3 linked regions of the Kluyveromyces lactis genome follow. The protein of the gene in region 1 interacts with the protein of each later gene in a pairwise test. Links are inferred from orthologs where the notes say so. Each region holds a gene or a part of one and is shown in the gene's direction. Other genes may lie near its edges.

Region 1 (7,924 bases):
TTAGAGAAAGTTTTGACCCAGTGTGTTACAGTAAGGCATAAATTCCAAATCGGTGATCACATAAACCAATCTGAGAACCCTTCTGACTTCGATAACAGCAAAAAGAGAAGTTTTAAGGAACTAGTACATGAAACTGTAACATTGGATTCTGATTTAAAATCATACCGTTCTGCCGTACTTAACAAATGGTCAGCAAAAGTTTCTGCATCATCAGGAAAATCTCTTCTGCAAGCCTCCAAGTTTAAAGCGATCAACCAGTCAGCTGATGTACAAGTGGATAACCAACTTGCTGATATGCCAAGATTACTTAAAAGGACAAAACTCAATAGAAGCAATACTAAACCTTTGTTGTTTGATGAAGATTTACAAAAAGGTCTACTAAAAGAATTGCAACTGGAGGAAAACGTAGAAGGAGACATCGAAGAAGAAAATAATTTGGATATTCCAAAGAATTACGATCCAAGAAGGAAGGATAACAATGCATTAGATTTTACCCAAAACCCATATATCTATGATGACGAAGATTTTTACAGAGTTTTGTTGAATGATCTTGTTGAGAAAAAAATATCTAACTCTCAACAATCCAATGGTGTTACTTTGGCCATCACTTCTCGCTCTGAAAACAAGCTCAAGAAAAACATCGACACCAAGGCTTCAAAGGGTCGTAAACTAAATTACTCTATTCAAGAACCAATTGCCAATTATGAAGCATCAGTTAATACTGGGTATAAATGGTCGGATGAGCAAATTGATGAATTCTTTGCTGGTTTATTAGGTCAAAAGATCAACTTCAATGAAGACGATGAATTGGAAGCTGACACGATGCACAACGAGGAAGACGAAGAGATCAAAAATGACGATATTCAAATTTTCGGATAATTTGGAGTTCGACCTTCAACTTGTATTTATTTTTCATCTATTGTTTATTATTATAATTAAAATATGTACACGGCATTCAAAATGTCCAACAAACTGACATCGACAAATCAAACATCGATAATATTGCTCATGTTACTTGCCATACTCTCTAAGTCAACCTCATTTTCTTCTTTTTCTCTTCTATGGCATTCTTCCACTATGTTTTCCCAATTGGAATTGAAAACACAATAGCTCAAAGCAAACGCCAGTAATAAGATCCCGGTACCGCATCCGTACCAAAGCCCTTTTAATCCCAACTGAAATTTACCAAAAGTTAGCCATCCACTTAAAGGCAATGCGATAAAATAGTATGCTATGATATTTAACAGGCTGCCAACTTGCTGCCGTCCTTGTGCACGTAATATCGCAGCGCTAAAAGTTGTGAATGCATCATATAATTGGTTAACTGCCAAAATTGGAGCGACATGACGATATAACTCAACGACCTCTTTGTCTTTAGTGAACAAATACGCTAAATTCTTGTCACCTGTTAAAATCAAACAACAATTCGCAATCCCTACAAACGCTGCTATCACGTACGACGTATTAATACAGATCTTCGCGTTGTTGACCGATTCTGTCCCAACATAATTAGCAACCCTTGTGGAAACTACGCAACCCATTGCGAATGGGATTTGATATATCAAAGATCCTATGTTCGATACGACTGATTGTGCTGCTATAGCCTTGACACCGAGATATGTAGACATAATAGTCAATACTTCGAAAGAAAGGTACTCTGCTTCAATCATGAGTAAACCAGGAAATGCCAAATTCCACATAGGTTTCCAGCTGCAAAATAATCTTTTAAAGTGGAACATTGAAGAGAACATGGGATACCAACAAATCAGAGTTTCCTTTCTCCAAAATTTGCAATAAACCAGTAGCATTAAGGCCATAAACCAGTGCGATATGGCGATACCTAGAGGAGCACCAGCATATCCAATGTAACGAGTAAATGAATACACTAGAATAATATTAACTGGAACTGTAATCAACAAGGAGTATGTTCCTGCTTGGAAATGGCCCTGTGATTGAAGGAATCTCTTACCAGTTTCGAAAAAAATCAGCCCTGGCAACCCAAACGATATTATTCTCAAGAAAAGTTGTATCTCTGGGAGGATATCCTGTTCAGCAATCACATAACCTAACCATGAAGCACTGAACCACCATGATATAATCACAGGGAAAATACCTGTCATTATCATCGCTGCACAACGGAATGAATATAAACCAACTTTTGCATATTTCTTGGCACCATACGCTTGTGAGCAAAAGGTATCCAAAGAAGTGGCCATACCCTCCACAAATGCTAAACCAGTAATATTGTAAGTCATTACCGCCAAAGATGCGGAAGCTAAGGCATCACTTGATTTACAGACATGACCGATGACAAATAAAGAAATAATAGCCAAAGAGTATTCCATTAGAAAAGTTAATGTAATTAGAGCGGAGTTGCTTAAGATATAGGAGACTTCATTCCTAGAGCTTGTTGGGGCAGTAAGATCCTCTATGAAGTCTTCGTCAATAAAGTCATCGCGATCTGCATCTGGACTCATTAGTCGATATCGATTGTCTATGGCATCGCCAGAAGATGCAGATTCTCCATCACTTTCATATCTAGTATTGTCATTGATTGTATCGTATCGCGGTCTATCCATAGAGTCACAGAGATACTCACTCTCTTGATTCATGTCTAGTTGTTTCAACTAACCTGTAATGCCCTTCTTTATCTTAAAACCAGTTTGAATGTCCATTAACAGTGGAATGAAAAAAACTAATCTCCAGAATTAAAGGTATTAATACCCAAAATGTTGTATTGAGCCAGGCAGTATGGATTGAACGGCCACCGAGCACGTTCCGATGACACGAACCTTTTATTCGTCTTGGTGTACATATAATTGATCCTTATCTACGTTGAAAAAGCACTAGTTTTGATAATCGCTAATAAGAATTTGATTGTGAAATTCTATATTATCGCTTAGCAGATAACTGCGATAGGAACAAAAAAAACAAAAGAATAAGAAAGTACATACCGTCAATTAGGTGCAATGTCATTTCTTCTTCGACCATTGAATGATAGCAGCTCGAACAACTCCAACAACGTTATAAGAATAAGCCCAGAACCATGTTTTGTCGTAAAATCTAAGGTAATAAACCCTGGTACTACATCGCTATCAAGCAATGCAAAGATATTCATCAACATTTGCCATAATGACCAGATACCCTTACCTGAAATCGATTTCAACCCCGCCATAGTATATCCCCTAATAATCAACAACCAATGGGAAATACCAATCGTAACCTCCTCAATAAGGGAGGATGTTGACAAAAAGGGCAACGTCTGCTACGTGAGCGATTGTTGTATAAACACCAAATGCGTTTCATGGATCCAGCATGATTTACAACTAAGAGAAATCGTAGTTGAATGGTGCTTAGAATCCTGTGAATTGCGAGCGGAGCTCGAAATATCAAGGGATAATATAAGTTTCCCTAAGCTGAAGAAGAAAGGTGATACTATACCTGAACTAGAAATACTGCGAGAAGACCTAACAGAGAATTATGAAGAAACCATCAATGATTTGGTAAATAGGGAACAAAAAGAACCTGTTAGTATTATCGAAAAGAGGCGAGACTTTCTTGCAGAAGACGAACCTTCGACGGGTGAACTGCCGCCATTAATTCCTATCGACCAATCTTCCCGTAGAAAACCTTTAATAGAGGAAATCGAGGATCTTTCACTGCATGAAACCAAGAAACCCAAGGTTGAAGAAATACAAAAAAAAAGTATATCATATGAACTTAGTATGGGCAAACCCAAAGACACCTCAGAGTTTCTCTTAAAGATAGAAGTGACCTCGGAGCTTAACTCTAGTCTTGATTACAATATCAAATATGATGCTAAAAGTAATAAACTCATCATAAAGAATACTAATCTAGGTATTTATCCCGAGAAGAAACTCAAGGTTCCATTACCTGATATATTTAATAATCCTCCAAAATTAGAGTGTTTCTTTGTGAAGCCTGAGCGCAGATTAATAATATTTTTATAAAATCTCAATATGGCCGTATATATATATAAATTGATGCAAGATGTTCGATTATCTATATATGCTTTTATTAAAGGGCTACGTGTATGAGAGTTAAACGTAACATGTAAAGTATATTTTCATTCACTTTAGGTTAATGAGGAGGGAATGCTAAATTTTCCCTATGAGCTACGTATTCACTATCAGCATAGCCTAGAATATCTTCAATCTGATCACTTTGCAGACCTTTAATTTTTGATAACTCTGTGCTTGTATAGTTGCAACGAGCCCTACCTACTGTTTTCAGTGCAACGGATTTATCCAAATTTCCATCTGAATCCCTGACTCCCAATTTTATATCTATACATTCATGTTCATGGAAGCTCCCTTGGACTTCAATAACGCCTGCAGGTAACAAACCAGCTTTGTTTTTCCTCGTTAACGCTTCGTATGCACCAATGTCTATAATTACAGCGCCTTGACTGACGAGTCCATGAAGCATCCAGAATTGTCTGTTCTTCAAGTGATGATGATTACTATTGGCAATAAACCTAGTATGAAGAGGAACATGATTATTAACTAAACTTTGCATCTCAGTGAGTTGTAGGTCAGCCAAATCTTGTGTAAGTTCATTCACGCCATCGTCCCTTTCCTGCATGTAGAGAACAATTTTGGAAATGTTTTCTGGAGTGTCGCTCTTCATAATGATGGTATGGACACCAGCATTGGTTGCTAATTCTGCCGCAATAAGCTTAGTCTTCATACCACCAGTTCCAACATCTGATCCAGATCCACCGTCTGTGTTCACACCTGGCAATCCTTGTGATATATCTGGAACAACCAAGATAGGTTTTGCATCGGGATTTGCTCTTGGATTATCAGTGTATAAACAGTCAACATCTGTCAATAAAAATAGATAATCAGCACCAGTCAACGCTGCTGTGATAGCTGATAATGTATCATTATCACCAAATTTGATTTCGCTCACAGATAAAGTGTCATTCTCATTAACGATTGGCACTACTCCCATGGAAAGTAATTCACTAATAGTATTCTGTGCATTCTTATACTGAGTCCAATCAACAATGTCATTTCGAGTAATTAGGATTTGAGCAATTCTCTGATCAAATTCAGAGAACAAGGAATCCCACCTCCCAATTAATCTGCCTTGGCCCACAGCTGCGATTGCTTGCACCTTGGATAGTTTCTTTGGCCTTCCCTTCATATTCATCGTTTTCAATCCGACGGCGATACCTCCACTAGATACAATGATAACTTTGTGTCCTCTTCTGCGTAACTTTACCACAGTCTCCACAATCAATGACATGATAGAAAGTTTTGGTTCTTTGGTCTCTTCATCAACTAGTGATGAAGATCCCAATTTTATGACTATGACGAACTGCTTTACCATCTGAACTTGTTGGAAAACGTTCTTCTTCTCGCGGTCCGTAGAAACCTTTGGTTACAGAAATTTCAGGCCAGATTGACTAATAGCTGCTGCTCACAGACAGTACACTATGTTTATATCTGTTTTGCAGATGCAGTTATTCATCTTTTCAAATGGTCTGCAGATGTCATCGAAACATTTACTTTCAGTTTCTGTGAATTTTTAAATATTCACCGGTTCTTCAAAATATAGGTAACTATCATTACTAAGAACACTGGAAACAGACGAGCGTAGGTGGGCATACTAGCACTCTTCAGTCACACCTGAATCTGAAACGTTTAAATATCGGGGATAGATAATAAATGAACGTTTTTGACGAGATATTGCAACCCACTGTGGTTAATAAATGCTTACATGGGAATTTTACGTCAGCGGAAAGGGAAGAATACGTTGTTGCAAGAACCAATGTTCTCTCTGTATTCAGGGTCTCGCGAGCACAAAAGCTTGTACTTGCATATGAATGGAAACTAGCAGGTAAAATCATAGATATGCAATTACTGCCCCAAATTGGATCGCCTCTTAAGATGCTTGCAATACTTTCGTCGAAATCCAAAGTATCGTTGGTAAGGTTTGACCCAGTGGCAGAGAGTCTTGAAACACTAAGTCTGCATTATTATCACGACAAATTTGTCAATTTAAGCACTTCTTCTTTGAAGACGGAGTCCATTATGGCAGTGGATCCATTGTTTAGATGTCTTCTGGTTTTTAATGAAGATGTTTTAGCTATATTGCCATTGAAACTGAACACAGAAGATATGGAAATTGATGAGGATGAGAACGGAATAAAAGAGCCAATGGCTAAACGCTTAAAAAGGAACCAAGGAATCACATCCGATAGTATAATAATGCCAATTTCTAGCCTTCACAAGAGTCTCAAGCATGTCTATGATATAAAATGGTTAAATAATTTCAGCAAGCCAACTGTGGGAATATTATATCAACCGGTACTTGCGTGGTGTGGAAATGAAAAAGTACTTGGAAATACTATGAGGTACATGGTTTTGAGTTTAGATGTCGAAGATGAAAAAACCACCGTGATTGCTGAGCTTGCAGATCTTCCGAACGACCTGCACACCTTGGTTCCACTGAAGAGGGGATATGTGTTGATTGGTGTCAATGAATTATTATATATCAGTGCATCTGGTGCACTACAATCGTGCATACGATTGAACACATTTGCAACGTCTTCAATCAATACAAGGATAACTGATAATTCTGACATGAATATCTTTCTATCAAAGAGTTCAATATATTTCTATAAAGCTTTGAAAAGACATGATTTGCTTATTTTGATAGATGAAAACTGCAGGATGTACAACATTATTACAGAATCAGAGGGTAATCTACTTACCAAATTTGACTGTGTACAAGTACCGATTGTTAACGAGATCTTCAAAAATTCAAGATTGCCGTTGTCGGTATGTGGTGATCTCAACTTAGAAACTGGCAGAGTTCTTATAGGTTTTCTCTCAGGTGATGCAATGTTTCTGCAACTTAAAAACTTGAAAGTGGCATTTGCAGCAAAACGACAACTTGTTGAAACTGTTGATGACGATGACGATGAATACAGTGCACTTTATGGAGAGTCTCAAAATAATACTCACACCAGAATCGTCGAAACACAAGAGCCTTTCGATATATCATTGTTGGACTCCATTTTCAATATCGGTCCTCTAACATCTCTTACTATTGGTAAGGTCGCATCTGTTGAACCAACTATTCAGAGACTTCCCAATCCTAACAAAGATGAATTCTCAATTGTAGCTACATCTGGAGTTGGGAGGGGATCTCACCTCACTGCATTGCATTCCACTGTCCAGCCCCACATAGAACAAGCCTTAAAATTCACAAGTGCGACCCGTATCTGGAATTTGAAAATAAAGGGAAAAGACAAGTATCTTGTGACTACAGACGCTGATAAAGAGAAAAGTGATGTATATCAGATTGATAGAAATTTTGAACCTTTTAGGGCGCAAGATTTTAGAAAAGACAGCAGAACCATCGGCATGGAAACTATGGACGACGATAAACGTATTTTACAGGTAACTTCAGGAGGATTATATCTATTTGATGTTGACTTTAAGAGGTTAGCAAGATTAACTATTGATATCGAAATTGTTCATGCGTGTATTATTGATCCATATATTCTATTCACGGATGCTAGAGGTAACATCAAAATTTATCAACTAGACTCTAAAAATAAAAAAAAATTCATCAAATTTAAGCTTCCAGAGGCTCTCAATGAAATTATCATCACATCTGGTTCCATTTTCAAGAGTAACATTTGCAACAAATTCCTACATGGATTGGAAAACTCTTCACAAGAACAGCTTCTCTTCACATTTGTAACGGGCGACAATCAGGTTATTTTCTTTACCGAAAAGCACAATGACAGGATATTTCAGTTAAATGGTGTCGATCAGCTAGAAGACATGCTTTTTATAAGTACGTATCAGATTCCTGAAGAAATGAACCCGGACCCATCAATAAAGCAAATCATGTTAAACAGATTGGGCCATCATAAGAAAGA
Region 2 (7,818 bases), on another chromosome or scaffold:
ATCAAATACTTCTGGGCATTCAGATGCGATAACTCTTTCCACATCGAATAAATTCAAATCTTTTGATTTTAGTCGAAAGGATAACATTGATTACGACGGTGAATACACTGTTGATCAAGAGGAGTTGGAAAAGCTAAAAAATAAACTTGCAGAACAACACATTAGTGACAATTTAACAGCCATCCAAGATGACAAAGAAGAAGTCATAGTTATTAAAAAGAAAAAGAAGAAGAAAACCAAAGATGGCAGTAAGAAGGAAAAGACTAAGAAAAAATATAAAGAGCCCGCTGAAAAAGCTTCAACTCCAGCAATTTCTCTAGCTCCAAACGAATCATAATAACAGATTAATATAATCACTAATCCATTCGCACTATTTCTTTATAGACATAGGTTCAAATATTTAATCTGTAAAAAGATAAATCACGTAATTGCAAGAAAAAACACGAACTTTAGATCTAGTGAAGAGTTTTTTATCACCGCCAGATAAAGGGATTCTGACTGGAAGTTGTGACAACAGGCCATTGCAATGTCATTTCGTGCTTCCATAAACAGCACGAATGAACAGACCATATGGGGTAAATGCTTGGCAACTCTTTCTCAAATAAACCCTGATGTCTTCATAACAATCACCGAAAATGGTGTATTGATATCATCCATGAATGCAACAGACACGACCATGGCCAAGGTACGATTTCCTAAGTCGTTCTTTACAGAGTATCACTTCGAGCCGAAGAAGATTGTATTTGGTGAATCTGGAGTGCAGCAGATCACCGATTGTAATGACATTCTTCACACAATTTATAGTTTCAAAGCGAATGCAAAGTATCTTTCCCTATTATCACTTAAACAAGAGGATACAATTAAAGAATACATGTTAACTATCGACAATTGTGATAATTGTTCTGAAACTATAGCTAACAAACTCATAATCAAAATGAAGACAGCATCTTTGCTAACTAAAGAATATCAAGTTAATTTTGATCCATTGGAAAGTGTTCAGATCATATTAAGTCTGAAATATAAACAAAAATTCCTTTCAGTATACAACAACAAAAGTAAGGGCAGATCATTAGATCCTCGGTTAGTGGATTATTTCAAATCTTTACAAACAGAATTAGAACATGATATGTTTAATAGAGGTATCGCCAATGAACACAATATTGTGAGCACAGTGAAAAATACACCGTTGACGGTTAACGACGAAATCAACTTCTTAAGTTTTGATCAATCAATACTAAGAAACTTCATTGACTCTATTATGTCTAATGTGATCGAGGAAATAAAATTGGAATTGACGAGACATACTCTAGCCATAATAGGATTTACAAAAGCCGTGTACAACATGAAAAGTCAAGGGTACCTCAAACAAGCAGTTACAGTAACGAATACATGTAGCGCAAATGATCTAGAACATTACTGCATATTTTCAACAGAAAAAAACGACGGTTCGAGACCTTCAAGCAGATCACAAAGTATTAAGAAGAGCATTACGTTCAAATTACGAGATTTCAAAGTATTCTTAAATGGACTTAATTGTTGGAAAACAAATGACATGATAAGAATCTGGTTTTGCCAACCTGGTGACCCCATTCTCTTTGAAATAACAAAAGATGGGGTTGTATTGGAATTAGTGCAGGTAACTGATACCGAGGGTAGGGTCGAAGAACCAGAGGATTCTGTCACCCAATTTAACCTGTCACCAGAAAAGATAGTTTCACCAATCAAGAAGGATACCGTAGTGAAACCAGATAAGCTTCAAAGGCCGGAAAGTAAGCAGATGCTGTATCCACATACAAAACGCTCACTATTTATAACGGATGAGGATGGAGCAGATGATGATGACGAAGACGAAGAAGGAAGGCAATTCAGGTTTAAAAGGTGGGGGAAACAAAATAGTAACACTACTCCCAATTCAAACACTGGCTCCCAGTCAACACCATCGAACACAACAACCGAGCCGTCAATTAGCGAGCCAGTAAAGAGAATGAGAACAACTGTCGAATGGGGAGGAACAATTGAATCGAACAATGTCGGTACAGATGAATCTCATCAAAGAGAAATGAACAAGGCTGCTTATCTAAATAATTTGAAAAGACAAGCAATCCAAGAAGATCTCAATCTACAGGAAGAAGATGATGGCATGGGTCCCACACAAGCTGACAGACCTAAAGGTTTGTTCGACTCTTGATAATAAAGAACGAAAGAAGTACTTTATTTTTCATTTCGAAATGAATTCATAAACTGTAATTGAACATATAGACATATAATATACAGTACGTAAATAAACTTAGCATTAAATCTTAGATAACAGACCTACACAGTAGTGTAATCTAAGCCATGGGAGAAAGAATGTTGTTTTGTCGGCAGGTTACATTTTCTCTTGCATCTAGGCTGTCTTGGCGACATTGGCGTCAGTAGCGTCAGCTTTCTTGCCACCTAGATAATGATGGTTTAAATATCTGTAACCTTGCACAAGTTGGGCTGTTTCATTCACAACGTGACAACCGAATAACAAGAAGTTCCTTGGGGTAACAGCTAGGGAATATCTCATAAACACACCAGAGTACATCACTAGAGCCAGCGTCATAGGTCCAGAAATCATCTCCGGATCCTTCTTCAAATCGTAGATGGCAGCAATTGGGATACCGAAGTTTGAAACTGGACCCCAGAAATGTGTGGTGAAGACATACTTTAAAGTTTCCTTGTTAATGTATTTGGAAATCAAAGATTGACTAGCAGCTCTCTGTACTGGTTGGGACATGATTCAGGGATTATAAACTGTTGCCGAAGTATAATTTACTGAGTTAATATTAACGTAAACCAAACTAAAAAAAGAAGGATAACAATGAATGAATGGGAAAACGAGAGGCCAACTAATAACTCAGATCGAGTACCAAGAAGTTCTTCAATGTACCTTTAAATCTTTTCTGAAAACATTTAAACATTTTTGTTGAGCTTTAAAAGTCTTCAAGGTTTCGAAGCTTGAAAAATTCACCGCTGCAATACGATTTTCACTGGTAAACCCGTTGGTGAGAGACTACCCACTGCACAGCTGATGGAAGTAAGAGGTATAAAACTACATACATGGAGGGGCCGCATAACCACCAACTTATAAGCCGACATATTGGGGGATAGATTTCTGATTACTCTCAGTGGTTAACTTGGTCAAAATCCGTCTCTCTTATGATTGGTAATAAGAAGACGTATATCAGTAAGGTCACGTGATATAGATGACACTGCGTAAAAGCTATAGCACCAGTGGAATGACTTGCGGGGACCCTTATGAGCCTGTTTGACTGTTACATATTTCAGAATATGTTTCACGGTTTACGAAGCATCAGTTACCGGTTTAAAACTTCAACACCTTTCTCCAGAACATTATGTATGTGAACGTAGGAAATTTCTTTTCATTATCTATTCATCTCATCTCATCTCATCTCATCTCATCTCTATCTGTTCAATTAATGAATATGATGGGAAGAAAGGCCCCAGGGAAGAGTATTCGAGCAACATGAATGGTCAAAACGTGTACAATAACTCTTCACAGGGCGGATCTGTGAATAATAATCTTTTGCAACATACGTTACAAACCACGCGAATGCAGTATTATCCGATACCTCAGATGAATCAACCCAACCAATACGGTGTCCCCGCTATGCAGCATGCACCAATGGGAATGAGATATGGGACCCACCATCCTTTCTATCCGAATCCGCACCAGTATCAACAGAGCTGGTATGGTTTTAATCAAGCGCAACCGCCATACGTGGATGTTACAAAATCAAGCAAGATCAATTATGATGATGAGGAAGAAGAAGAAGAGGAAGAGGTGATAGAGCACCAACAGTCAAATTTAGAGGCAAACGACAAAATCGAAGTACCCAAGAAGGGTCCTATCAAAAAGTTCGCCAATACCAATTTGAGGAATTCTGCTTTAGTTGAGAATAAAATAGCAAGTGATGAAGATGATAAAAGGAAAGAAGAAGAAGATGAAGAAGAAGAAGAAGCTTCTGCTGATGAAGATATCATAGAAACCGTCAAAGGATCAGATCTGTATATACCTGGAACTTCAATAGTGCTTAAAACGGAGGAGGATATCGCAAAATGGAAAGAAGAGAGAAGGAAGATGTGGTTAATAAAGATTTCAAATAAGAAAGAAATGTACAGAGAAAAGTTTAACGTCAAGGACGAAGACTTGAATCGTAATCCTCTCCAGGAGTCTAGAAAGGAGCGCTATTTTATTCAAAATATACAAAACCAAGTTAAAAGGTTTAATTATAAACCAAACTTGACGATAGGTCTTCATCAGAGAATCTTAAAAGAGGAAAACGGTAAGATCTTGGATTTCATCAAAGAACTTGGTGATGCCAATTATCTCAAATATGAACTTACAGAAGAAGAAAAAGAGGTGCTCTTTGGAGGCAAAGATCACAAGAATGACCAGAATAGACGCTCCAATAGGAGGTATGATAGGCAACTCAATCAACGTGATACTCAATACCGAAACCATTCAAGGAAAAGACCGATTGATGAGGTTTGAAAAAGGAAATCTTGCTTACTACTTTAACCCTTCCAATATAAAGTTAGTGACAGCTGAACCAATGAAAGTTCCTATTAAGATACCAGGGAAGAATTTATTCAATGCCTTTCCGTTATTATTGTCAGCAATATCAGCGTCATATTTTGCATCATCGTGGTACCGAGGTTTGTCAACTCGATATTTCATTTTGTGTCTTCCTTTAGAATGCCTCTTGCTCTTCCTCTTCTTATGTTTCTTCTTATCCTTGCTTTTAATACTCTCGTACTCTATATTGTGATTATCTGTATCGATCTTGGGGGAACTGACTTGTAGTATTCTCTGTGTACCATCAGTGCTCATGGCGGGCTCATCAATAAAAGTTGATTCATCTTGATTTGATAACATTCCATTATTTGAAGCAACCATTCTCAGTTGCATGAGTTGGATTACTGACCACTCCGGGAGTGTAGTTTTTAATCCGAATTGATGCCTATTCTAGTTCCTTTCCCTATTTTCACTTTATAAAGACCTTTTCTCTTCAAGTTTTCAAGCATTTATATGTTTCATTTGGGTTTCAGACATGAGGTATCACATATAATATAGATAATAACAAAATATATACTTTTGATATCTTCAATAAAGCATTCTAAAAAACTGTTATGAGAGTGTGGGTTGGAACATTCAATGATATTTATCAGCTGGGTGAACAATCCAAACTTATCCTTCGACAAAATTTGCAACAGTAGCTAAAACTCCCAAAGTACCAATGGAACCCAACATAAATCCTAATGAACCACTATATAAGTCAAATCTTCTCTTTCTACCAAATTTCTTCCCCTTAGCCTTATTCACCCTAAACGTCGACCACCTTGATCTGTTCCCTCTTCCTCTCTTATAGCGGCATTTGAAGTGATGGTGCTTCTTCTCTGGATCCATAAAAGTATGGTCATCATAGCCACTGTCGCTGTCGCTGTCACTGTTGATGTAAATGCATGCACGAGAGTGAGAGTTACCAGAAACAGACGACTCCTTGGACGAGCTCAGTGTACTGGGGTCAGAGGTTGGCTTGAGTGCTACCGTTGGCGCAGTATCATCTACCACAGCAACAACTTCATCCTCCTTGCCAATTTCAACTTTAATTTCCTCGTTCCAATCGGTTGCCTTGGACCATGCGTTCTCAGAATCAGATTCGTCTGAAACATGCTGCATGATGGAGTCCAGAAAGTCACTTGACCTTGATGTACATGGCGATTTTTGATCTGTCACATCAGTAAGCACAATTCTGTAGTTGAAAGGCCAAGCTCCTGGTCTTATATTTAAGTTGAATTTGAGTTTGGCTCCCCGTTGTTGATTCACTGAGACCGGCTCATCTAATCTAACTAACCCAAACCTATCACCGTTTTTCAAATCAATTATCTTTCCATCTGTATTGGAATCTGCTGATTCCAAATCCACAATACGATCCGCGTCCCCTAAGGATTCTAAATAAATCCTGAATGAGTCTATATTCATTGGAAGCGACTCTTCATCATTCGTCGGAGGGAGTTTCTTAACAACAAGCTTAGCGTGCTCAACAAATAGGTCATCATCATCAAAGATTAAATTGGACTCGCTGGAATGCTTGCTTTCATCTTCCTTAACTTCTTTCCCAATAATAACCTCAATTCCATGAGAACCATTAAATTCAATAGTTCTTGTTGTGTGCGGAGTCTTAATAAACTGATACATCTGAGAATGTAGAGCTAATTTGTAACTATTTTAACAAGGCGTAAATGTGCTAGTACACTGTCCTATCTAACAATATGCCTATGCTACCGACCTTTTTCGAAAACTGTCCGACTATATCTCCCTTAGTGTCTTTAAAACGTCTCCTTGTTTTAAGATGAAGAAGAATCCTTTATTTTTTACTGTCACTTTGGTATTCAGATACGATAAATCGAACAACGAAATTGTATTGTGAAAAAATATGCACTGGCACAGTTTATATAACATTGATACATAATAAAATATGGACTAGCAGAATTCAAGATCCAGTCTATTTCGTACAGGATTCATCATTCATAAACAGGGGTCTCTCTATCGTAAAGCTATATATTTAGATATATAAGGTTAAAGTCAGTACAGACAAATTAGCATAAGTGTAGACTCATCAGTTATACAAATGGCGTAAGTGCGTAAGTAAGAAACCGCTGAATTGCTCTTCCTGTCTTCTTGTATTAACAGAGTTTGAATTGGTTAGAAAGATCAGAGATAATGAAGATCACTGAGTTCTTTATAATATGACGCACTTCTTCTTCTTCTTCTTTTCGGCTTTTTTATTTTTGCCCTTCTTAGCAGATTTGGCCTCATTTGAAGAGGCAGTAGCAGCTGCCCTCCTATCTTGGCGCGACCTAATACCTCTTACAGCCCTTGCGTCTTCTTCTTCTTGCAATAGACGGGCCAACTGTTCATCTGTCATTGGTGTTTCTTCATCCAGTTGAGATCCGTTGCTATTCGGGTCCAAACCCGAAGCAGTGGCCTGTTCAAGGGTAGTTAGTAGGAACTCAGAGGTGAAGAAAGAGTCCTGGTTCCCCTTTACGGACTTCAAAGACTGCCACACGATATTAGAAGCCTTCTTGAAACCTAAGTCGGTGACCAAGACGTATAAGCCGCCATTGTTCTTATGAATGGTGGAGAAATGATCGTTACGGAAAAATACGGAGTATGAATGCTCTTGAAGTAGCTGCTGTAAGTGCTGAATACCATACTCTGTCAATTGAGTCGCACTTCTTGCTAAGAACGATTTCAGATATTGAGCGTCTTGCAAAATTTGCTCCGAATTTTCCACTTGCAGCCCATTATTCTGGATGTCGTAAGCGTGCACCAAGAGGTTTTGAGCATCATCGTAAGAGTAATGAGAAACGCTATGGTATTGTTGTTCGTTTCTTGTTGGATCCACTATCCATCCATGAACCAATGACACTTGGAAGAGTCTAAAAAGTGCTAACGCTTGATCATCTTGAAATGTACCATTGAAAGCCGGATTGACGTTAAGACCAGTATGTAGCTGTGGCAATAATTGTAAAAGTTCGTTCACATCTTCCGACTGGCCATTGTCCATCATAACACCGATATTTGCCAATGTTGTTATCAAATCTTCAAGAGTCACCTTCCTATTTGAATTGATTAGTTGAATCAATTCGTTAGCATCTAACTTATGTTGCGGTGATAAAACCAACACATTTGTCAAAGCAACTAGTGCACATGGTCCATTCTCATTCTGGAGCAAGATGTTCCTGGTCAAACCATCGACCTTTATT
Region 3 (7,872 bases), on another chromosome or scaffold:
CTGCATAATATATATGGCCTTGCTTCACATTATCTTCACTGGATCAGCTTCATACTCAAAATTTTCGTACTGTTATTATTTGTGATTAAACAATCATATTAGGACACAATATTGGATTACGCAAGGATTTGCATTGCAACGAAAATATAGCAGAGTAACACACCCTTGAGATAGCCAATCGATCATGATTACCAAACCAGTGGCACTTCCACTCCATACATCATCGTACAATTCACCCAAAAGATTGATGAGACCTCCCAGCACACCAAATCTAAGAACTTCATCAACAGTAAGGCCAAGATCAACTTCCTCGTCATCTTCGAGTCAATGTTCTTCACCAGCAAGAAGTTCTTCTACGAAGGCCGCTTCTCCAATTCGTGGCGGGAGAAGTTCATACCAGGGTACCATTTCGGTAGGGGTAAGAATCAAGCCTACTCATGGAAAACAAGATTCTTGGCACGTAAATAACAACTCCATTATTCATGAAGAGTTTGGGGAATTTAACTTCGACCATGTTTTCAGTCCGGAGATGAATAACGATCGAGTATATGAGACTATGGCATTGCCTATGATAGATAAATTATTCGAGGGATTTAATTGTACAATTTTCGCTTATGGTATGACTGGTTCAGGTAAGACATATACCATGAGTGGATCCAAATCAGGTCCTGGTATAATACCCATGTGCGTTGACACTATTTTCGATCGTATCAATGTGGGATTACCTCGCAAAAAGTTTACTGTCAGAGTATCCTATTTGGAAATTTACAACGAGAGAATATTTGATCTATTGAATTTACCACAGGGCAAAACTTTAAATAGCAATATTATGGTGCCCAGTTCGACATTGACTAATGATCTTAAGCTTCGAGATGACTTGAAATACGGGGTTAAAGTTGTTGGTTTAGTTGAGAGAAATGTTAGCAGTAATAAAGAGTTAATGAAGTGCATATCGATTGGAGATCATAACCGTAAGACTGGAGAGACTGATTTTAATACAAGATCCTCTAGATCTCACGCTGTGGTCCTTATCCGTGTATTCTGCACCGATGAAATAACTGGCGAGCAAGTGATGAGTACATTATCTCTGTGTGATTTAGCTGGGTCCGAAAGAGCTACGGGGCAACAAGAAAGAAGGAAAGAGGGAGCTTACATCAACAAATCGTTATTAGCTCTTGGAACAGTGATATCTAAATTGAGTATGGAAAGTTCGGGCCTTTCTACAAATGTAGGCCATATTCCATACAGAGATTCCAAGTTAACAAGAATATTACAACCTGCACTAAGCGGGGACTCGTTAGTCGCTACCATATGTACTGTGGATACAAGGCCCGAGACAAGTACGGAATCTATCAATACGATACGGTTCGCCAGCAGGGCAAAAAACATCAGTTTGGCTGTAAAGCGTAACGAAGCCGACAGCAACGTAAGCAAGAGCCAATTAATCCAAACATTGCGGAAACAAGTACGAGAACAGCAAATAACCATCGACAATTTGACCAGGGGGAAAGGTTTCATTGGATCCGGAATAAGTTCAGATACATCACTACTAAGGGAGAACGAGCTTCTAAAGATGAAGGTAGAACATTATGAAAGACTGGAAACGTTAGAACCTAGTATCTTGAAAGATACCGAATTAGTGGAAATCATTGACATGCTCCCACAGGATATTGGTGTGATGTTAGAGACAAAATTGGTCAACATGGACTCTCAATTACAAGAGTCGAAGAGGTATATATCACAGCTAGAGAGTGCAAGGACTCGAGATGCTTCTGCCACTGCAGCCACTGCAGAGTTGCTGTCCAATGTATCAGATATCGATTTGACACAAGTGTTACATGAACAAGAGCAAGAATTGATGCAGTTGCATCAATCTCTTGAAAGGAAGGATAAAATGATAGAAGCGTTGAAGAGCGCGAAGAGACTAAGACAACAACTTGCAGAGTACACGGGAGAAGCTGTGTCTGCTACTGACTCCGACATTGAGATTGGAACCGCAACTGCTGCTAACGTTCTCAAACCGATATCGCCGAATGCCAGCGATTTGAACAGACAAGAAAGACCAATTACGATTGGAAGCGGTACAAGTATCACAACTACCAGCGACAGCAGCGGTACTGGCAGTGATTACCTAAAACCCGTACCGAAGTACTCCATTGCATCAGATGTATTTCCGAAATCAGTTCTATAGGGTGTCTAACAGCAGAAACACCCGATTTCACATCAAAGAAGGTCGAGCATTCTGCTGAAGCTCGAATGTATGCACCTTGCAACGCTTCGAGGGTCTCAAAAACACGCTCTTAGAAAAACTAGCACTGAGGAAAATCAAAAAGAAATTTTATATCCAATTTCACCCGGCAACAAAACTAGATAGGAAAGAACTTATGAGTAACAACATCTTCTAAAGACAAAAAATACGAACCTACAGAATCAGTAAGCAACGGTTAATAAGTAACACATAGACACAGAAACACACCTGCTTCTGTTTTTGTAATCTTCCTTTCTCCCATTTTATCTTCCCTCGAGGTCTCCCAGTCCGGACTGCGAAACTTCCCTAATTTTTTCATTTTTACGCTTTTTGATTTACGTGATTTTCTCGTGGAACATGTCTTATTCCTTACTCCCTGTACCTCAATTGGGATTTCCGACTCTTGCCTGATCCCCAATAACAGTCGGGGATATTATTCGGGCTGTGTCCTGCGCATGTTTTAGTGTTTTTTATCAGCAATTTGGTGTATTATTTCGATTTTCCTTTGATTTTCCAAAAGGAACCACCAATAAATCGAGGAATGAAACTAGATACGTTAGTTCTGTGCGAACCTTTCTGTGACTTTTTTCATAACTTCTCTCGCTTTACAAAACAAGGCTTCGAGAAATAAAGTTGGGGTAACCAAGTTTTTCTGAAGAAAGTACCAAAGGAAAGCATAATCACATTTATAAACACACACATATATATATATGTAGGTATGTCTATATAGTTACATTTATAAAGGTATCCCAACCTTTCTCTTGTTGCATGTGGTTAGGTATATGTTTTTATGCGTAGTGCAACGCGAAAATTGACAATAAATCATTGTGAAATATGGGTCTCAGATCCGGTAAGACAAGTAAGAAGGGCAATAGATTAGTGGTAACCTCGCTTGTGTTGTTTAGTGTCGTTTTGCTTATCCTGTACAGTGTCGGTAGCGATGAGTCGTTTATGAATTACAAGCAGTTTTCGCTTGGAACTTTGCAGATTGGTGCCGAAGATGATTCTGATGTAAGTGCACTACCAAGTATTGATGGTAGCATTAGTAGCATTAGTAGTGGAATCAACTATGCTTCTACGAATATTGCTGCAGATTCTATTGTGGAGGAGAAACTTGTGATCAACGAAGCTGAAGGTACTAAGCGGATGGAACTACGTAAACACAAGGTCCTGTCACCTAAGATGACGGCTCCTCTGGAATCCGAAGTAGCACCGGTAATAGTTGAACACGGCGGATCCAGTGGAACTGGTGGAATCACTGTTAGTAATGAGCGGTTCAGTCCAAGCTTAGGATTTCAGCAGATCTTGAATACTTCGCCAGTGATTCTTTTCATAAAATCTTCTGAGAAAAACTCTGTGGATTTGAAGAATGTTTTGACGTTAGAGTACACTTTTTCTCCAGAGATTATTGTTGTTGACTTGGACAAACATCAATTTGGTGACTCTATGCAAGAATATATCCAGTTGAATAGGCTAGCAACTTATAAATCAAACTATGGAGAATCTTCGAAATCTCCTGATGTCCCATATTTATTCATTAATGGCGTTTCCTTAATCAACAAATCTTTGAAAGACGATATATTGAACAAGCATGCAGACGGGTCCCTTCTATCAAAGCTTAGACACGTTGCTGATAGTAAGGTATCTATTTCAAAGGTGGATATCCCATCCAACTCTTGAGTTCCTTGCATTTTTGGTGGTTATTTGCTTGTATGAACAAAGTAAAGAATCATTTTAATGAGTGTTTTATGACGACCTATATTTCTCGCTTCTCGCATTTTACTACTATTTTTGGGCTCCTGCGGAAAGGAAGCCATTTTCCATTACTTTTGTTTCCATTTTATATGTATTATAATTTCTATAATAATACTTGAGGTGATCAGTATACTAATATTTCAATCTACAAAAAGTCCATTAAGCACTCAAGTGTGAAACACAAGTGTGAAATACAAATGTTTCAATACAAATCCTCCATTTTAATTTCAAGATCTTTCGATGATCTTTTATTATTTAATTCATGCGATTCCTCTTCCTCTATTTCTGTTGGATAGTACTCAGAAAAATCATAGAATGGTCTCCCCCAAAATGCAAGTATTCCTTTCATGTAACCGTTATCCTTAACATAAACAACTTTACATTTTTCATCAGGGCCTAATAAGTCATGAGTAATTGAGGACAACTGATCAAGATCTGAGTTTCTCGGTAGAAACAAAACTACATTCTGACATACAGAGAAGAAAACGCTAAGTATCTTTGATAATGGCGACGGCTGTAAATGTTCTTCGAGGTCATAAGTGTCCTGTCTCAAATAGTCAACACCACCCCACGGAGGTGAAGCAAATATGCAATCGGGTGTTTTTCCCAAGTTCTTGACTAAAGTCTTTTTCAATGATTCTTCCCAGTCACCATATATCAGTTTAAGCTTGACAGCAGAATTGTAACACTCAGCATTCTTATAGGCACAATACAAATGGTCGATATTTGAATCTATCCCGTAAACTTTCTCAAATAATCTTGCAAACTGAATGGTATTACCACCGCCTCCACAAAACACATCAACAATACAATTTCCATTGGGTAGACAATGCCTAACATAATTTGCAGTAAACTGTGCAAGATTTTCGGGTGTGACACTAAACCACAATTCGTCTGTTAAATATATGTTACCATTATTTATGAGCTTGAAAATGGTTGCCCTATTTTTCCAGAACTTGAATAATTTCTTATCATTCGGCCTTTGGTAAGGGTTTATTCTGTAACTATCATCGAAGAAATGTTTCTTTAATCGATGCCTTACTTTTATATTGTTTATTCCATCTATTCCTTCAAAACATCCAAGATCTTTTGGCGTCTTTAAGAGCCACGACATCTGGCTTTAAATAAATATCTTAATGACTTGGACAACAGTTCTGCTCCATTATTTTAAACTATAACTATATTATGTGTTGTTTTTACTATCCCATCTCATCGCATCTCTCTGCATTAATTTTGTTAAATTTATAAAATGATGGTTGCAGAAAAGAAATCCAATATAGAAAGGAACTATTAGCAAGTGCCATCTCCAAGATGTGTGATTTTACCAACATCTGACCTGCATCTACAAACCCTTGCCTTTCTAGTTGTTAACAATGCGGCATGTCTGCATTTACTTTAGGTGTAAAGTAGAGAATACCTCTCTCTTGTAGCCCCGCTTTGCTGAAAACTTTGACATAGAACGAATACTCTTCAACAAAAAAGGATATAGGGGTACTTCATCTCCCACCGTTCCAAAAAGAGTACAGTAGACTCTGTTCTGAAGTTATACCTGTAGATAAACCGTTGAATGTAACTGTTTACCAGAATATGGTAAAGTCAGTTAGTTCTTCGGTTGTCAGCTTGATTTAATATCATAGCGAATTTCAAGTTTTCGAGTTCCTTCGTCATTAACCAGAAAATATAATGGATTTGGCACTAAAGTAATTACATAAAATGGTAGTGAAATACATCAAGACAAAATACTGATAAAAGAAAGCAGGTTATCATTGTTCTGCTATTATTCTGAAACAGTCTTAACTTAGTTTTGAGATGACGATACATTATGTGACACCAAATATATATTGGTACAAAATGCAACAAATATCTGGTATTCTAAAAGTATATATATAAACTCAGTTCATGATGATAATCTAGGCACTCTGATGTTAAGAGAATTATAGATGGGCAGGCTGTCACTTGGGCTGAATGAATAATTTCCTTTCAAGATATCCTTATGAGTAAGATGTTGTGAAACAGGTCACGTGTGTATTCCATCGTGGTGTACGGATGAGATTTCTGCCCAGCATCTAATTTCCCTTTTCATTACGAACCCAGCATGAAATTTAGCATGTCTTTGCAGATAAGGGCAAGCTGATACAAGGTCAGCAATATTTGCTATTCCAGTAGAGTGTCGTATGCGGCCTCTAGTAAATATGGCTGGCCCTGCAACTAATCATTGATACTGAATCAGGTCAGCTTGTTCCTTAAATTGTTGTCTGGTATCATCCTTTCAGTATCTATATATATATATATATATATATATTTGAAGGAATGAATGAAGAACTTGAATAAGCTGAATGGGGAAAGCGATTCCACGATTGTATGAGTCTTTTTTGTCATCATGAGCCACTTGCGTAACCTTTCCTGGTGCAAGCTTCGTAAAATATCTTAAAAGCGTTACTCAAAATTACGTGCAATACTGTTATCATCGAATACTCTAGCTGGTAAATACTGAATTACCGAATAAATGATCAGAACTCCCACAAGAACCAAAACCAAGTCCTATAATGGATCTCAATCAGAATTTAGGTTCCCAGATGTTGAAGTTTTGGCTCATCTTAAATTGCCAGAACATGGTTTAAACAACCATCATCTACTAAACGAGCAATTGAATAAGAAGCCAGAAGACGATATTCACTCCCAGCATTTATCTGACTATACCACGACAAATTCCAACTCCGGTAACTCATCTAATGGATACTACTCATTTGCTAACATATCTGATAATACGACTAATCCTGACAAGTTGTCTGCTGTCAAGAACACAGCTTGTGCAATTGGAAACAACAGGTACTCATATATATCATCTTCCGGTTCTTCAGTGCATTATCCTGGAACACTGGCACCGGACAGAACACCTAGAATATGTCCCACAAACTCACCTGAATTTGGCAGGCCATTGGATGGTAACTTTGATATGCAATGCATACCAGAAGCATATTCTACGGTTACCTCTGATTTCACTTTGCCGACTGCCGACAATATTTCTTTCCAGTTCACACTGTCATCTGGTAACTCCACTGCAATGCTAAAGAAGCGTAGTACGCCGTCTACGAAAACGCGAAACGCCACGAACTTAAGTGAGAAACGGAAATCATCAGTCAAAAGATCAACTTCGACTGTGTCAAGAAGGTCGAATATAAAAAGATCAAATGCGATAAGATGCAAAGGTGGACTCTTACACTATTTCACTAAGCTCGGTAAACGTGTAAGATTAAACCTTAAGAAGTTCCACCTGGCTCTAAAACGCAAACTCTTTACGTACAAACAACGTCATTTCGCAAAGTCTGATAAGAGGACAACATCACATTTACTTCGTTCAAACGGGTATTTCGCAAATATTAAGAGGTCACAATCGATGAGATCAATGGCTTCTTACTCTGATACATCCTCTCCAACCGTTCCATCTGGATTGGATATAAAGAATACCCCGATTGTCAAGCATTCCTCCAACATCAACCATCGTTCATTGAGGAGAACTCCATCCTCTATTAAGCGTGCAGCATCGATCCTTACGAGCAGTAATTCACTTATTTTTTCTAGAAGTAATTCTTCCGTCGGAAGAACTGATTCAACCCGTTTAGTTAGGTCTCAACCTTCTCTAAATTTAAACTTAGCGGTAAGACAACCTTCCATCGTTGTTAAAAATAAGGTGATACCACTTTCTCAATTCGATCATGACGATTATTGTATTAGAGAAGAAGACGAAGACGAAGAAGACGAAGATGAATATATTATCGATACACAAAAGATGCAACCACTAAAGTCAGAGATGGGATCTATTACATCATCCTTACATGATGGTGATTCTGTCTTCGAAGACGCTATGA

Evidence for each region.
Region 2: the proteins of PIH1 (region 1) and RSA1 interact in a two-hybrid assay, tested with the Saccharomyces cerevisiae proteins (2 studies listed by BioGRID). The link is inferred for Kluyveromyces lactis from reciprocal best matches to the Saccharomyces cerevisiae genes PIH1 and RSA1.
Region 3: the proteins of PIH1 (region 1) and PRM4 interact in binary tests that used the Saccharomyces cerevisiae proteins (3 or more experiments, as listed by UniProt). The link is inferred for Kluyveromyces lactis from reciprocal best matches to the Saccharomyces cerevisiae genes PIH1 and PRM4.

The regions. Positions count from the first base shown.
Region 1 is NC_006039.1:881,078-889,001, reverse strand, and holds PIH1 (Pih1p), read left to right. Parts: upstream 1-2,969; coding exon 2,970-3,971; downstream 3,972-7,924. Other genes in the region: rRNA-processing protein BFR2, read left to right, coding at 1-879; ERC1 (Erc1p), read right to left, coding at 987-2,612; PRO1 (glutamate 5-kinase), read right to left, coding at 4,102-5,358; cleavage/polyadenylation factor CFT1, read left to right, coding at 5,697-7,924. UniProt on the Saccharomyces cerevisiae protein: Involved in pre-rRNA processing and required for the NOP58-snoRNA interaction.
Region 2 is NC_006041.1:1,718,469-1,726,286, reverse strand, and holds RSA1 (Rsa1p), read left to right. Parts: upstream 1-3,511; coding exon 3,512-4,540; downstream 4,541-7,818. Other genes in the region: APL5 (Apl5p), read left to right, coding at 1-337; DDC1 (Ddc1p), read left to right, coding at 527-2,188; pyruvate transporter MPC1, read right to left, coding at 2,387-2,761; KLLA0_E19317g (uncharacterized protein), read right to left, coding at 4,559-4,957; KLLA0_E19295g (uncharacterized protein), read right to left, coding at 5,237-6,247; MIY3 (Miy3p), read right to left, coding at 6,792-7,818. UniProt on the Saccharomyces cerevisiae protein: Involved in a late nucleoplasmic step of 60S ribosomal subunit assembly.
Region 3 is NC_006040.1:509,529-517,400, forward strand, and holds PRM4 (pheromone-regulated protein PRM4), read left to right. Parts: upstream 1-3,082; coding exon 3,083-3,928; downstream 3,929-7,872. Other genes in the region: KIP2 (Kip2p), read left to right, coding at 185-2,191; TGS1 (RNA methyltransferase), read right to left, coding at 4,206-5,117; AIM44 (Aim44p), read left to right, coding at 6,510-7,872.